Linked DNA regions of Caenorhabditis elegans. The protein of the gene in region 1 interacts with the protein of each later gene in a pairwise test. Each region holds a gene or a part of one and is shown in the gene's direction. Other genes may lie near its edges.

Region 1 (8,645 bases):
GGTACCTAAAGTGTCAATTTTTCAATTCCTGTTTTTTTGGTTATCATCCTAAAAAATTTCACGTCGTTTTCCAAGGTTATTGAAACATTATTGTACTTTTTGTGAATTTGGTGCTCTCATAACTCATTAAAGATCAAAACAAATTGAAAACATGAAAATTAAAATCAATTTCGGAACTAAAATCTTCGTGACACTGTAGATGTTTGACTTGATCATACGTTCAGACGAAACAACAAAACATACAGGAAGAAGACACATATGCAAGCATTCACACCTTCTCCTAACATCCTTGTCTTCTAATTTTGTAACATTTCCGAACGGACAAAAAACCACAGAGATAATGTTAGAATGATATATAATCCTTGGAAAACCACGAGATCGTCAAAATCACTTGTTCTCCCTCCAATTTTTTATCTACATTTGACGTTTTCCCAAATGTTCATCCAATTGTAATTCCACATGCCTTATCTATTGGAAGGTCATTACTATGTTCCAGACGCTCTTCTCACTGCCACAAAAAACCGGGTTTTTTTCTCCATCGTAAGGAGGAGACATAGTGCGGAGAGGGAGGAAGTCTCCCTGCTGCAGCTAGTATGGTCTGAAAAGATCCCGTCGTCTTCACTTTAACCTTGCCGACCTTCTAGGCCACCCGCAACGGCATCCCCTCTCCCCCAGTGCCTTCTCTCCAATTTTTTCATTCTCTTTCTTCCGAACGAAACGGTGTGAGTGTGTGTGTGTGTGTGGGGGTGGGCGCTGCGTTTTTCTGATGAGGTGCGCGCAGCTCGATTTTTTCTTTACATCTTGCGCCCCCGGGCGACAGATAGAGATGATGCCCGTTGCTGCCTGCCGCCACTGCCGCTGCTGCTGCCATCGACAGTTTCTTCTTCTACATCGTTTTTCTTCTTTTTTCTTCATCGTATTCCCAAAAAAGCTTGTTTGGCACCCCGCGACACACGCACTATCTCACCCCCTTTCTCTCTTCTTGTAAATGCCATTCAGAAACCGTCACCTCCTCCCCCCCTCGATCCCCGCCATCTCATTTTTTCATTGCCATCCGCGTAAAGTCGTTTTTCCGCCCTGCCACCCCCAGGTGTAATCCGCCCCATATCAGTTTGCCAGCTTTTGCACTTTTAGTTCTACCGTATCCAATGCCTGCGGTGCCCCACCCCCAGAGATTCCTTCACTCCATATTTGCTCCCCACCATTCCTCACACCCCAAATTTCTCTTCCTATCCTAGAACCTAAAACATAGAACCTAGATTTATGTATCGCAATCTTACCGTTCTCCTCCGCAAACGTAACGTCATACTAGATGCGAGTTTGCTCTCCAGTCACTTCACCCATCTCAATTACCTGTTAGCACCATCTGTCCATCTAGACCACCTTCCTGCTAGTCTCGAACTTGTAGTGGTGGTTACGCGCAATTGACAGTAATCCAGTATAGACACACAGCCATGCAATCATCAACATAATTGTGCTATAATCCACCTGGCATTACTTTGCCTTCCTTGAGATCCTGTTCTTTTTTCTCAGGTTCCTGAATCTTATTTTTGTGCTGGTTTCAGATTTTGATCATTGAAAATTTTCATTTTATAACATTTTTACCCTATCCACCCAATCCATCAAATCTCTTTTTCGTGTTTATGATGCAAATTTTGTGTAATAGTATATATGTTTTGATGTTTCGTATCTTACACACCATGTCTGGATGCGATAATTAATCCATATTAGTTCCTCCTGTTTTTTTTAATGTTCATCAACTTTTTTTTCTTATTGCTCCTCGTAAAGGTCCGTAAGATACCTACTGCCCAGCGAATACACACTTTACCACTTCTCTTACAAATATAGTAAGCACACAGTAGCTCGTCGCTATGAGTGCAAGTCAAATCCGGAGAAGCAGCTTATGGAGTACACGGGGAGGCATCGGGTTGAGATGTTTGGCCAAACCCGGAAACCGTATCTCGGTCCTTCTTCGCCTCCGCCGCCGCGAGACGACAAACAACTAGGCGAGGTCACCTAGCTGCTCTCAAAACCGTGGACCAGGCTCTCGCTAAATCAAACACACTCATAACAAGTCCAACTCGCAGTGGTTGCTAAAGAAGCTGGCTATCCATAAATTACTGCCTACTCCCCAAATTCGTATCCAGGCGCGTAACCAGTAATTTGGCGAGCCGTTGTAAATGCTTGTCAATGTGATCATACCTATGGATCCGGCTCCTCCTTTTCCCCCTCCTCCGCTTTTTTCGCTCCGATAATACATATTTTTCCAGTCACTCTTAGTATTTCCATTTTCCAATTTTCCCATATATTCCTATATCCGCCTGTTACCATTTCCTATACATTTCCTTTCTTATCTTCTGCCATCCGTAAACACACCTGATTATTGTGTGCAAGTCTCGTCGTGCCATATTCCTCGCTTTTTTCCCCTATTTTTCCTCGTTGTTCTTCTTTTTGTCGCCCATTTTCGTCTCATTACCAGATATTCCCTGTCAGGGTTTTTCATTTTGCTATGGTTATCATTTCAGTGATCTCAACAATGGATGAACTGAACGCTTGCACAGAATGCGGATTCACGACTACTGTATTTTCCGAGTTTCAAGGACATATAGGTAACCAACCTGTTCGGTGATACATGAATGCCAATTCGTTTGAAACATCCACCTACCCGCGCTTTGTCCATCTTTTTTTCATCTTAGAACGGAGACAAACCCGTAAAAATTCGGATTTGTAGCGGTTTAGTGAGCGCTTCAACCCATTAACTAACCCGCTTCTATTGCGTTTCACATTTAGCAACATTACCCCCTAATACTTTTTTTTTGCAGAGAAGCACGAAAACGAGCACAGCAGGTCTTCAAGCGGAGAAATGTCTAACTCGCAGGTATGTTATGGGAGAGTAAAATTCATCCAGAAGAGTGAGAGCGTGTGAGTGAGAGATATAGAAAAAAGGTTGCGTCATAATGCCATATTTGCCTAATTAGTGCCAGAGGTAGAGAAGATATGTGAGGGAACAACAGAACGTGGAAAAAATGAAGAGGGGAGGGATGTTGGATGTGACGTTGTAACACGTCTTCCAGACATGCCCCCTGAGACTCGTTAGAAACATTGAGACCAAGGCTTTTCAGACAATCGAGTGGGGAGATGGTATTCAGTCGTCCACGCCGTCGCCACGGTCCACGCCCCCTTCAGATCCAACGCCGAGTCCGGACTCGGATGAACATCTTGAACATCACATTTCGATAACAGAAATCACAAACACTCTCATCAAAAGTAAGTTTTCTTTGAATTGCATTTTCTTACACACTGGAATGTATTTCTATTGATGGTTAATTACCAAGTACCAATATGCAATTGTGAAACCTAAAAATTTCAGAAGAACCAGGCACCAAAGGACAAAAGACGGTTCACGTTTGCCCGCACTGTAATTTCACCACTTGTATGTCGCAACACATGAAAAGCCACTTGGTAGGTTCAAGGATTTTTACCCGTTTTCTTGAAAGCATTCTCTTGTTCTATAGGTGACGGAAGAGTGAAAGATACTTTCAGTACATTATTACGCATGTTCCCAAGGGTACAAATTAATTTTAGCATGTAAATCTGTTGATGGATATGAAAGTCTTTTCAATTTCCCTCTTTTCCACTTTTCATCAATTCCTTGTAAGGTGGGTCCTGTAAGTCAACACTCCGTGAACCTTTTCTCTTCTCCCACTCGCTCCATGCCGCTTTTCTCACAAACTACTGTTTACTTTCTATCTACTGTCCAGTTAACTGCGTCTCTCACTTGACCCTACTGTTTTTTGTTCCGACGGCCAATCCCATCACTTCCCGAACGGTCATCGGGATGAGTAGTAGTGGAGTGGTATGGGAGAAGGAGGCAGGCTCCTCATATATTGGCTTTTCTTCTTAAGGATGTTGCCTTTCATGTGAGCCGGTGTCATACTAATTGGTTAAGGCAGAATCTTCCGAGAAACCAAACCAAAAAAAACATAGATTTTCCCTTTTTCGGTTATGTAGTGACATCAAGCGGTAGAGATTGGGATGGGTGGAAGAAGATGGGAGGAAAAAGAGGCGTTTTTGGAAAAAGAAACGGGAAGACCAGATACGGGGGCAGTACAAAAAACGTGATGACCTTAGAAATCACATGACATACCAGTGAAGATTCTTGAACATTTCAGGAAGCGCATGAACGCCATCAAGGCCAAATGTACCAATGCGACATCTGTAAAATGCAGTTCAGCCAGAAGGTGAGCAATTTTTAAAACATTTTCTGAATCGGAATCTGGTTTTCAAACACTCGACAACTTTTGAATCATTTGGATTTTCCAAGTATGGTTATCGTGCTGATTGATCTTCTTCTTTGATTCCCTTTTCACTTTCTTCCTGTGGTTTATCAATGTTGCGTTTTCAGGCTAACATGCATCGTCATCGGATGCGCCACAGCGGTGTGAAGCCATACGAGTGTCGTTTTTGCAAAAAACGATTTTTCAGGAAAGATCAGGTATGCTTGTCTGGCATATTTTTTATTACCCTCCACCTCCTAGCCCCACCATTTAACGGCTGTTGCGTAAGAAGCCGCTGCCGCCTTCCGTAACTCAAAAATCGTGTTTTATCTTCAATTTACGTAATCAAATGGAAAGTGAAACTGATCTCCCGTAAGGAAAGGGAAATTGAGGGAAGAAGGAGGCGGCGGATTGCCGCCTGAAGGTCGTTTTCAATTTGGATATTTTCACTTTCCCGGAAATAAGAAGAGTCTCTTCCATGGATGGCAGGGAACTGCCGCAGTGCCCATCAACCATTTCTTCAAGCGCTCTGATGATATCTGTTTGCCCAAAACCGTTCTTGAAGGTCGACGAGCCTGAAGAAAACAGGAAAATCGGGGGGAACCAATTTGACGGTATTGGTGTCAGGTTATGCCGTCGAATATGAAAACGGTTGGCGCGTCTTTCTTCTCCGATTCTTCATACTATCCGACGACGTTGGTGAAGATGAGAAGTAAAAGACCTTGACGATAGCACGCGCATTTTCTTCGGAAGATCCTACCTCCCATCCTACCTTCTAGCATCTTCTCGATGTCTCCATATTTTTGCCGCTCTTTACTGTGTACCTTACCCCCAGGGCCAATCAGTAAAAAAAAGAAGAAATACCAACCGTCGGCGGTTTTTTTTTTGTTCTAGCTGCGTCTCTGATTGGTTCCCGAAAAGTTGAAAGCCATCACCCTCGCTCGCATCAAAAGGGGTTTTTATAATGAAAGACAAAGGTTGCGGGGCGAGGAGAAAACCAGAGAAAATTGTAAATTGTAATATTGTGTGAAAGTGAAAACCGATTTTTAGATGTTAAAAACATACCGTAGTCATGTTTTAAACATGTAACTTAAAATAAACCTATAACTTTCAGATGCAAGAGCATTCAATGACACATATCAAAACGGGTTTTGGTTTCGACTGTCCAGTATCACAATGTAACATGCAGTTTAGTCAGCACAATGCACTCCGAGCACACTTGGAAGAAACGCACACAATTTCGTCAACAAATCCCGCGTCATGTAAGCGATGTAATTTGATGTTCGCCAATTCGCGACGTCTTCTCCTTCATTTCCAGACAAGACATGACGATTCTGAGGTAAGAGATGTAACTTCAGATTACACGGAAACGTAACACATGATTAGCGAGCAGAACCTGAGCCTTATTAGGTGATGTTTTTCTCGTTCTCGGAGCTTAATTCGGTTGCCCCAAGAGACGCACTTTCCGTGGAATCTCTCTCATCATGTGATATCCTGAACGTGAACTCTTATTTCTCATTCTGATTTTCAGTCTTCTCCGAAAAAAGAAAACACGCCAAAAAGGAAGAAGCTGTCGAATGGAAATGCTTTGCCAATGGATCCTGCGAACATGAGCATAACAGAACAGTTGCAAAGAATGGTGAAATCAGAGTTTAGCCCTCCAAACACCGACACCTCCGATAACTCCACAAGTTCTGAATTCGACAAAATTGTAAGAATCTTTCTTTCGTTTCTTTTTGAATAAAAAGCATTTCCATGATTCCATGGTTTTATTTTCAGCCACCAAGCTTCCCTATGGCTAACCCAGATATTTTGTTGATGTGTCTAAACCAAATGAACCAGTTCAATGGATTCGGAGAAAACATCCCAAGACCAATGCTCAACATTCCAAATATTCCATTGCCGGTATCAATGAAACCTTCACACTTTCGCTAATTAACCTTTGCATTTCAGGCTCTTCACAACATTCCAGCAGTGGCAGCGATTGTGAAGCAGGATCAGGTGCAACTCTGGTCAGAGCAGACGTCAAGCTCTGTGAGTGTCAGTGCTCCAAGTCCGAGTGAACAGTCGCACTCGCCGCCAGCCAATGAGTCATCACTTTCGTTAACTGAAAAAGAGAAATCACCGACTCCCGAAAAAGAAGACGAGGAGAATGTGGTATGTGTTATCGCTAATAACAACTTGTTATTGAAAATGTCACCATTTTGTTTACCTTTTTTCGAAGTGCAATTAGAATTGTGAGCATCGTCAACAGAGTTTTTTTTTCCAAAAATTGGGACTTTTGATCCATTTCTTTGTTGATGCCAAAATTTGGTTTTATCAACCTTAAAAACATAGACTGATTAAATGATTGCCAATTTGTTGCAACTTTCGGAACGTTCTCATTTGAGAAAAAATCTAAAAAAAGAGATAGAAAAACCGAACATTACACCATGTATAGTTTGATGAGGAGGTTTTCAATTTCTCGTAGATGTCACAAGTTTTCTTTGAAATCTGAAGGATGATGGATTCTCTACATCACCCACCTTATCAGAACTATCAACTTTCTCTTCCGAAATTTGAATTTAAAGGAAAACTATAGGTTTTAGGTATTTTGAACATTTTGCAATGAGACTTCTCAAAAAATTTCAAAAAAAAAGAGTTAATTTTAGCTAAAAGCCCGGCCTTTGCCTTTTCCGGTTCGCAGCAGCTGATACCATTCAAAAAAAAGTTCGGACTGCTGCAGTTTTTAGCTAGAATTTGGCAGGTTTTTTCAAAAATTCAAATTTCGATTAAAAAAAACTTTTTAAAAAGTTTCTGTTAGAAACTTCATTGCAAAGCTCGTTAATTCGTGCGCTTTCTGTATATATACTCAAAACACTCATAACCGTTACTCATTTAATGGCATCTAACTCTAGAATTATTTTAGGAATGCTGTCATTGCGGAATGATGTTCTACGACAACACAATGTACCTGCTCCATAAAAGTCTTCACTCGGACGGTGATCCTTTCAAATGCGCATTGTGCGGAACTCAGTGCGGCGAGAAGTACATGTTCACTACTCATGTCATTTTTGCCGATCATAGTACTCAAGCAACGACTTCCGCCTGAATTCACCATCATCCAAGAAATATCCCCCCGATTGCCTTTCAGTTTTAGTAGTCAGTCTAGCGAATCCAAAACACCCCCATTCTTTCATCCACATTTTAATTTTTGTTTTTTTTTTCGGTTTTCTTCGGTTTTTTTCGATGCATATTCACAGTCAATTCTGATTACCTCTTTATTTGTCACTTTCTTTCTTCATAACAGGGAAACAACGAATGATTCTGCTTCTTCTCATTGATTCTCAACAGCTCTTTGTCTCTATCAAAAGTATTTGCCCCGTGTTTTTGTCTATTTCTCATCAATATTAAACCATCAAATATCATTATTTACATTTTTAAAAACTTTCTTCATCTTCTCCTGATTCTGCTCTCTATCTTGTTTCAATTCATTTGCACACGTGTCAAAAGTCATTTTGGACCCGTTAATTTTTTCCGTAACCTTGCATTGTTAGGTTTTTGTTGTTAGTGTTTTATTTTCCTTTCTCACCACCACCCCTCATCAAAATTTGTACAATTTCAATGATTTCTTCGAATGTATTTTAAACTAGTGAACTTCAACTGATATTCAGAATTTTTGAAGGCCTCCTTATCTGTTCCACCCATCCCAAACATTTCTTTCCGATTAGAATAGTAATTTTATCAAGCTTTCTCTCTGTCCCACTGTCCCATCAATTTTCTTCCCATTTCAAAATAAATTTTGTTGAAAACATACTGGAGAATAGAATACTAGAAAAAAGTCATGGTGGCTAGGAAAACGGCTAAATGGATTGGCAGGCAGTCTGTGATTGACATTGGCCCAGCGTATATGGTTATGAGTCGTGTGCTGCTCACTACGGACAATCCGGTTCAGTTGGGCAGTGTCCCACGGGGACTTGCCAAGAACCCAATGCATCAACATTGTGCTCTGCAGGACCAACAATAGTGGCTCTCTTTCTCATATTTTTGTCAAGATTAGCGACTACTAGATCAGTTTTATTTATAGCCATTTGTAAGGACATTTGAACTATTTATGGGTTGTTGTTTTATTTCAAACTGCATCTATATTTGTTAGCAGATTGATAAAAAGTAGAACTATCACAACACAAATTGCAGGTGCCTTTCGTCAGTTATCTGACAGAACATGATTGAGAAACACGGTTGGCGAAGTTTCCAGTTTTTGCCATATTTTTTTTACAATTTCGCATTAAACCTAAAAATTCATGTTTATTCACATAATTTGATGAATGAAAAATTAGCTTGCTGGATTCTGAAATTTTGCAATTTTTTCCTCACAATTTTATGCAC
Region 2 (8,518 bases), on another chromosome or scaffold:
TTTTAATGGATTTTTTTGAAAAAGAAAAAACATATTATTTTGAAAAACTCGATTTTTTTCCTGGAAAAACTTTTAATTTTTTGGTTATTTTTTGAAAATTTTTTTTGTTTGGTTTTAATGAAAAATTGATTCTTTTTGTTATTTTCATAGGAAAAAAGGTTTTTTGATTATATATTTTTTAATATTTCTATGACAATTTACCTGATAAAGTCCCGCATCCAAATTCGACAATCCCACAAAATCCAAATTATTCTGAAGAGCATACGCAAACGATGGGACACTCATTTTGGCAAGTTCTCGTGGAGCATTTATGTAATATTTACTGACTTGCTGTAAATTATAATTTTAAGATTTCAAAGAATACGGTAGATCTACCTCGGAAAATTGTCTGCTATCAAAGTTACATTCTTTGTAGAACATTGCAAATGTGATCACTAATTTCAAAATTTCGGCACATAAGACTACTGATGTTGAAGAATACATCTGAAATAAAAATGCATACTTTCGAAAAATTGAAATATTTGTATCAATTCTGTGTGTTTTTTTGGTGCTTTGGGATCAAAAAAAAAAAAATTTTTCTTAAAACCGTTTTCACACTTTGGATTTTTTTCAGAAAAGTTAAACATGATTTTTTATATTTCGCTATGAATTATCAATTGTATTTTATTGTCAAACTTTTTGAATTTTGAATTTTGAAAAAAAAAAATTTCTGAAAATTCAATAATCAAAGTCTTCCAAAACTATATTTCAAAATATATTACCATATCTGGATTTACAGTACTCCTTGTGTATTTGATTGTTAATGTGTAAGCTGTCCAAATGAATGTCATACTGGCAATAACATAGCATTTGAAGACAAAACTTGGACGAGATGATGACGGGGATTCTGAAATACTTGGCATTTTGATACAGAGTTTTGAGAAGGAATTATATAAATTTTTAAAATAACATACGAAAACTTAAAAAATGTCGAGAGTAAATTTTCCGATAATTTGTTTTTCGATTTTTTTTTTCAATTTTTACGGAAAGTTTTTTTTTTGAAGAAATACCAAAACTTTTTGAAAACTGTATAATATTAGAAACTTCCTACCATCCGCTTTCTCCACATCCTTATCGTTTGGCAGTAGCTTCTCCTTGTCCTCATCTTGATGTGATATATGTACATTTTGGAATTTCATTCCTGAAAGTTGTATATTTCATAAAAAATAATCAGTAAATATTGAAAAATGCTTTCAGAAAAAAAAAGATAAGAAAATGTGCTATTGGGGTATGATGTCTGATAAAAAGGGTGTATGTTTGTCTAGATCATTCTTCTCTTTTTTATTGTAAAAACGCCACGTTCATGCATAAAATTGAGAGGAAGTATCATTATTCACAAACGCGATGATAAAACCCATGAAATCATTTTTTGATACTTTTTAAAAGACTGAAAAATAGATAGATATTCTCTAGAAATGAAATATTTGAAAATGCATTGAGAACAAAAAAATATAACATTTTCCGATGCTTCCAAGCAACGCTTATGTTCCTTAGCAACATGAATTAACAAAGAAGGAAATTTCAAGGACAAGACACTACTTGACCTTCTGTCAAAGAATCTACTTATGAAAATTCGTTAAAATTGAAATTATATAGAAAATGTAAATATTGAATGAGTGCATAGAGCAGACTAGAAATTTCTATATCTTTTGAGATTCTCGGAATCTTTTCTTTTCAGAAAATTATGCTTTCTGATAAAATTCGGTAATTTGTAAACCATGAAAATCAAAATTTTAGGGCGTGAAATATTTTCTGCTGCAAGAATTTTTCTCTTAATTTAAGCACAAAAGCAACACAATTTCAAAAAAGTGTGTTTTCTGGTGTTCCTTGATCTAGTGAGACCGGTTTTTGCAAAGCCTACCTTCACAACAACCATAGACTATTTTATCCGATGACACCTGGTCCCTTCTCAAACAAAAGTGATGAATATTCCCCAATACCGTTTTCCTTTCAAACATGAATAAATGAATTCCATTAATTCCCTGCTTGGCTCCAGACTGTCGCCCTTCTGCGTCTCTAAGTCTTCCTATTTCAAACACTGTCTCATTTTATATATTCTGAGTCTCTCTACTATACTATGATGTCTAGTTGGCTACTAATGACGATAACGGGGGCGCAGGGACACAAGTTGACTGTCGCCGGGTGGAAACACATCTGTGAAGATGATTGCACAATTTGGAGAGACGGAGAGTTGAAAACAATGAGTAGACAGTTAGACGGTTGATGATGGGCTGGTGAAGCTGAGAACAATTTATGAGATACCAGGCACTTTAGAGAGGCTACAGAGGTAGAAAGAAAAAAAGGTAAAGGAGTGCGCATTTACAGGCTATTTTCAATGTTTCTTATTTATAGAATCTTCTTGTGATCTATTAGTTTTTACAATATTTCAAGAAGATTAGAATCATGGTAAGTTTTTATTTGTATTTAAGAATAAACATTCAAAAAAAATTCGAAATTTTGTAATTCAAATTTTTTAAAGAAAAAAAAAAATAGAATTCAAATTGTTGAACTCAATGAGTCTTTAAAATTTTGAAAAAAATACGAAAATCATTTTTAAAAATTTCAAAAAATGTAGCTACATTTTTTATGTTTTCCTATAAAGAATTTGTTTAAAAATTTCCCAAAATATTGTTGTGAAATAAGAAACTGAAATATCTTCTCGATATTGTCTAACCACTACCAGTTTGTAAAAATTATTATTACTTCCTCAAAACCAGGGCCTTGAGTCCTGGAACGTGTGTAATTTTTCAGCTACAGTACCCCGTGAACACCATAGACTTTGAAATTCTCAGCTTTCAAAGTTTGAACCTTCCGTTTTACATATTTTAATATTTGACGTAGTTTAAACATTTTTCCAAAATATGTGATTTCTACAATAAAATTCTTGAAAAAATCGAGACAAGAGAGACAAATAGTAATAGAGAGTACGGTAGCTGAAAAATTTCATTCGTATCAGAACCCAATTCCCAAGAATTCTTATTTTTCGAAAATAGATAAAATTGTATAACCATTTTTTATTTCACAACAAAAAACCACGAACCTTTCAGATAAACTTCGACGGAATAAAAAAGATCACGGAGAGACTGAAATGGAAACAAGGTAAGTCTCATTTTTGTCCAAAAGACCAATAGGGTGGGGAAATATTACAATCAACGGCGGAAATCTAGAATCGAAACTGAAATCGGATTTCTGACGGAAATAAGTATTTTACAGGAGACGAGGATGAGAATTGGGCAAAAAAGGCGATCGACAACTTGATGAAGAAGCTGATAAAGCATAACAAGCAGGCGTTGGAAAATTTGGAATTCGCGTTGAGGGTTCATGTGTTTTGTGTCTTTTGAATCTTTCAATTTGATCTTAAGATTTCTTTTTTATGAATAGAAATGAAATAATCTAGCAATAGACTACACATACTTTAAACTCGTTAAAAATCAATAAAAACTACATATATCCGATATTTCAATCGTAGAATAACCTCAAATCAATAACTATATCATTTCAGTGCCAAGGACAACAAAAAACCGAATGCGTGACAATTCCGCGGTCACTAGATGGACGACTTCAAATTTCGCATCGAAAGGTGATTTTAGTATAGAATAAGAGAATAATGGGGAGAAGAAGTAAACAAATTCAAAATGAAGGGGTGCCCTATTTGTTTATGAACATCAACTAGAAACAGAGACAGACTTACTTATTCGATTAATCGACCGACTAGATTTTGAAAAATGATATTAAATTTTTAAATTGTAAAATTGTGTCAACTAGTCGTTTGAACAATTTCAAAAATTGATTTGATCTTTTTTGATTTTATGGGCAAAAGTCCACGTGTCAGTCCCATTTGCATTTTTAATTTATAAATTTGCATAATTTCTACAGTACATCCTAACGATATTAGAAAAAACATAGATTTTTCTGCTAATTTTTTGATATTTTCACAAAAATTACACCAGCCAAAACTTAACCTAGATTATGAAAAATCATATTAAATTTATGAAATTTAAAAGTTTAAAAAATTTATAAACGTTAGCTGATCTTTTGTTCGATTTTCAATTTTTTTTGAAATGAAGCTTCTTCGTGAAATGCTTGTTTGAACAGCTGGAGATTATCATTTTTCACAGAAAATTCAAATAATCCACTCTGAGAAAAAATGTTAGGAACAATTCCAAATCCTATGTACTAAAAATTCAGGCACTTCCTCATGTGATATATTGCCGTGTCTATCGTTGGCCAGATCTTCAATCACATCATGAATTGAAAGCAATTGAAGATTGCCGATTCTGCTACGAATCAGGGCAAAAGGATATTTGCATTAATCCATATCATTACAAAAGAGTTCATGCAACTGGAGTACTTCCACCAGTTCTTGTACCTCGTTATTCCGAGAAACCACCACAAGAAGTGCCCCCAACTCTGGCGAAATTTCAGTTGATGGAGATGAGCGGATCAAGAATGCCGCAGAATGTCAATATGGCAAACGTTAATTTTACGTAAGTGTTTAAAAAATATATGGTATTACTGATTGAAGAAAAATTGAAATATCTGGTATTTATGAGATTATCGGGAACAAAAAAACAAAAAAGCGAAGAATAAAATAAGAAAACGAACACAGTAGGTAAGGAACGGAACTGGAAAACGGATGGGTTGATTTTGAGAAACCCGAAAACTTAAAAAAAAAACGGGGAAATGAGGGGAAAAACAGGTAACAAAGCAGCCTATCAACTATTCAAAAATTCTTTAAATTAATACATATCGAGCATTTCAGCTGCACGTTTCTTAGCATTCATCAATGGAATCATTCTCTTCAACATGAGAAGTTCTCGTGGTGGGGCAAATAGAGCTGCATTTCGAATTGATTCCATTGCTCGCTCGTAATTTTCTCTGAAAGGACTTGGATTTTTTAGTGGAACTCTGAAACTTTTTTACTTACTTCTTGATCATCGGCTCTGGCCCGTTAGTTCCCAAAAGATGAAGAACGTGAGCCGAGAAATTGAATGGATCAACTGCAATTGCTGCGTTGGCACTTTCAGTTGTCAATCTGAGTCGTTCAGCTTCTGGTTTGTGCACGTGGAGATCACTGGAAAATTAATTGTATTTAACGTAGAACTTAGAAGCCGATGGGAATTTCAATTTAAAATTCGCAGGCTGGTCCCTAATGACGTGATTGAACAAAAAATTCGCACTTTTTGATTTTTCAACTTTCCGATAGCTTAAATTTTTGCCATTTTCCTTCCTTTTAAAAGAAAATTATACTTCTTCTTTTTTCAACAACAGAAACAAAATTTATTTCAAAAATCGAATTTTATGAGTATATTCTTCGATTCTTTTTTTTTTTTTTTTGAAAAAAATCGAAAAGTCAAAAAAAATTTTTAATTTTCGATTTTTTGTTTTATTTTTTTTTTCATAAAATCTCGGCAACTGGTACCAGTCGGCGAATTTCAGAAAATTAAAATCTAAACTTACGCAGTCTGCAAATGCCTACTTGGCACCAAATATCTCGTAGTAATCCTTGCAGCCTCTTCGAGCAACTTCTTCGAGCTCTCCTCATTATTAGTCATCATATATACTTTGGACATAAGAACCAGATTGAAATGAGTAGATCTACTCTCTGCGAGTTCTTCCATTTCTCGGATTCGTCGATGAACATCAGCGTAGTCTTCGCTGGTACACAACTTCAGGAATGTAACAATCATGGAAAGATGTGGAGTGAGAGTTCCGTTCTTTTCAGCTTCTGTGAGAAGTCTATTGGCATTGTTCTGGAAAATTAAATAATTATAAATAAGAAAATTATGAATTTAAATTTACTGTATCCGCCATCATTTGTTGCTCATGATTCGTCACTGCTGTATCGAGAACACATCCATTATACTGAAACCATATTTTTAGAGAATAAAAATGATTTAATCGAATTACCACAAAAATAGATGCAAACGAATAAAGTTTGAAAAGTCTTTCCTTATCGTCTTTTGGAACTGATTCCAGGAATCTGAAAATTAGAAAAAATTAGACAAGACCTGGAAATATTTTGGAAAATCAAGAAAAAAAACTAACTTATCCAAATCTGCCATAGTATACATTAGCTCAATCTTGAGAATATCGAAAGCATCTCTCATTAGTTTTTTGCGTTCCTCATCCTCTTCTGATCCAATCAGTTCGTTAATTTTTGCTCCAACTTTATCGATATATCTCGTTGCCTCGTTAGGATCAGTACTGTAGCTTAGCATTTTTCCACGCAAGATCATTGCCGGAGGATAGCTGTTTTCCTCAGTAAGCAGATCAATCAGTTCTTCGTATTTTCCTTTTTTGAACTTTTCCAGTGCAAGTTGGTATTGTCTGAAATTTATAATTATTTTTACTGTATATCTAGAATTAGAGCTTACTTCTGGTCTTCACTGAGCACTTCTGGTTCGAATCTGGTGAGATCTGTTTTGAAAAGATCAAGAATATCCCAAGTATCACACCACTGCTGAATTCTGAACAAAGCTACTGGCTGTGGCTTAACATCTTCGATTTTGAGTGGTTTTCCAATGTGACAGTCGGACATCTAGAATAAAAAGTTGAGTTTCTTTAAGAAATTGTTAGGCTCTTACGGGTTCTATAGCAAGAAGCTTTCCAAAGAATTCGAAATTCGTCTTATTCAGGCTAGAATCCAAAGTGAACGCGGCAAGAAGATCTAAAAACAGGAATTGATACTTTTCTCGTAACATCTTCAGAAACTCACACGCCAGAGCATCCTGTTTCTTTCCGACGTCATTAAGTGCTTTTGCTGCTCTCAAGTATGCTTTGGTGTATTTTTTGTCTACTTTCAATGCAGCCATACAGTCGTTGAGGATATCAAAAGGGCTGTGTCCAACCTTTTCACGACAGGCTGCACGATTTTGGTAGAGCATTGCGACAATTTGATCAGAAGAGTTTGGTCCGGCCTTTTCGACTCCTTTTGTGAATGCTTCTAGTGCGGAATCGTATTGTTTCTCTTTAAACTTCAAATTTCCCAATGCTTTTATTTCCTCCAAGTCCCTTTCCAGCTGAAATTAGTTTTGAAATTGATATCATTGTACACTAGAAACTCACGTCTGAACCTCCAAAACTCTTATATACCAAGTATCCTACACCTGCAACTGTCGCTGCAGCTGCCACACCGATCAGCACTTTTTTCGTTTGGTCGCTGATTCCAGTCGTTTCGACCATTATATCTACAAAATAATAAATAGATAAATGATATAAGTTAAGATTAAGTTAGAAAAATTGAGAATTCAAAGAGAATGAAGAAAAATTGGTAAAATGATGTAAAATTTCAGTGATAAGAAAAGTAGGCAATATTTACGATAAACAGCATGCGGTGGAATTCCGGAGTATCGTCGCAAGTTGTAAATAAAATTGGATCCAAAATAACTTTGAGAGGGAAAAGGTTACGAAAAGAAAAAAAGGTTGAAATATTATCAATATATTTTCTAATTAGGGATTTAATAAATAATTTTCTAGAGCCAACCAATTTCATCAATACAATCCAAATGGAATTGAGGAAATGGATACTTCTCAGAAATTCGACATTCCACCAGGAGTTCCAACATGTCTCGTGCCATTCGATAAAGTTTGGGAAGAACAATTCTGGGCAACTGTTAGCTATTATGAATTGAATACAAGAGTCGGAGAACAGGTTAAAGTGTCTTCAACAACTATAACTATCGATGGATTCACTGATCCATGCATCAATGGAAGCAAAATTAGCCTGGGACTGTTTTCGAATGTAAATCGAAATGCAACTATTGAAAATACAAGAAGACATATTGGAAACGGTAAGAGCACCCACGGCCTCGCCACGAACGAATTACTTTCAAATCAAGGCCGAGCAAAACACGCGTGCGCCTTCAAGAAGTACAGTAACCTGATTTTCGGGAGATTGGGTACCGTACTTCGGCGCATAATTTTTGCAAGACTATGACTAAAAAATTGAAAATTTTCAAACTTTTTGTAATTCCAGGTGTCAAGCTAACCTACGTACGTAGCAATGGCTCACTCTTTGCTCAATGTGAAAGTGATTCAGCTATATTCGTACAATCTAGTAATTGTAATTATATCAATGGATTTCACTCAACAACTGTTGTTAAAATTGCAAATAAGTGTTCACTGAAGATTTTCGATATGGAGATTTTTAGACAGGTAAGCTAATTCACGTAATTGCAATGTTTGAGTCAAGAAAAGGTCTCGTCACGCACAAAATAACTTAAAATTGCAGTCTCACAGCAATATGTGTACCTTTAAGCAGTACGGTAGCCTATTCTTATACTTTTTGAAAAAAACTGGGTTACTGTACTTTTTAAAGGTACACACATTAAAACTGGCGAAGCCATGTTCTTGGGCAAAAAATAGTAACTGAAACTATTAGGTCTCCAAATAAGTTCCGGGTCAAAAATCATAACTTTGTTCACTGCGTATCGATTTTTATGAAACTGTGGGAATTTATGTTATCAACCATGATCTT

What was found.
Region 2: the proteins of ztf-16 (region 1) and sma-2 interact in a two-hybrid assay, tested with the Caenorhabditis elegans proteins (2 studies listed by BioGRID).

The regions. Positions count from the first base shown.
Region 1 is NC_003284.9:4,805,417-4,814,061, reverse strand, and holds ztf-16 (Zinc finger protein ztf-16), read left to right. Parts: upstream 1-2,521; 5' UTR 2,522-2,536; coding exon 2,537-2,609; intron 2,610-2,822; coding exon 2,823-2,878; intron 2,879-3,122; coding exon 3,123-3,267; intron 3,268-3,370; coding exon 3,371-3,462; intron 3,463-3,816; exon of another isoform or gene 3,817-3,954; intron 3,955-4,172; coding exon 4,173-4,241; intron 4,242-4,405; coding exon 4,406-4,495; intron 4,496-4,557; exon of another isoform or gene 4,558-4,698; intron 4,699-5,391; coding exon 5,392-5,616; intron 5,617-5,808; coding exon 5,809-5,988; intron 5,989-6,056; coding exon 6,057-6,182; intron 6,183-6,230; coding exon 6,231-6,434; coding exon of another isoform or gene 6,435-6,518; intron 6,519-7,185; coding exon 7,186-7,368; 3' UTR 7,369-8,064; downstream 8,065-8,645. UniProt on the Caenorhabditis elegans protein: Positively regulates the expression of ver-1 in the amphid sheath glia of amphid sensory neurons. Together with ehn-3, plays a role in somatic gonad development and is required for proper gonadal primordium assembly and somatic gonad precursor cell morphology.
Region 2 is NC_003281.10:8,747,522-8,756,039, forward strand, and holds the start of sma-2 (Dwarfin sma-2), read left to right. Parts: upstream 1-2,158; 5' UTR 2,159-2,342; intron 2,343-2,391; 5' UTR 2,392-2,442; coding exon 2,443-2,445; intron 2,446-3,086; coding exon 3,087-3,138; intron 3,139-3,252; coding exon 3,253-3,356; intron 3,357-3,541; coding exon 3,542-3,619; intron 3,620-4,227; coding exon 4,228-4,526; intron 4,527-4,573; exon of another isoform or gene 4,574-4,778; coding exon of another isoform or gene 4,779-4,917; intron 4,918-4,966; coding exon of another isoform or gene 4,967-5,113; intron 5,114-5,499; coding exon of another isoform or gene 5,500-5,792; intron 5,793-5,841; coding exon of another isoform or gene 5,842-5,904; intron 5,905-5,949; coding exon of another isoform or gene 5,950-6,022; intron 6,023-6,087; coding exon of another isoform or gene 6,088-6,369; intron 6,370-6,416; coding exon of another isoform or gene 6,417-6,580; intron 6,581-6,626; coding exon of another isoform or gene 6,627-6,709; intron 6,710-6,757; coding exon of another isoform or gene 6,758-7,061; intron 7,062-7,107; coding exon of another isoform or gene 7,108-7,224; exon of another isoform or gene 7,225-7,229; intron 7,230-7,370; coding exon of another isoform or gene 7,371-7,444; intron 7,445-7,518; coding exon 7,519-7,832; intron 7,833-7,882; and 4 more. Other genes in the region: ugtp-1 (UDP-galactose translocator 1), read right to left, coding at 202-330, 376-483, 762-886, 1,091-1,178; Mitochondrial import receptor subunit tomm-70, read right to left, coding at 4,779-4,917, 4,967-5,113, 5,500-5,792, 5,842-5,904, 5,950-6,022, 6,088-6,369, 6,417-6,580, 6,627-6,709 and 2 more. UniProt on the Caenorhabditis elegans protein: Involved in TGF-beta pathway. Plays a role in male tail tip morphogenesis.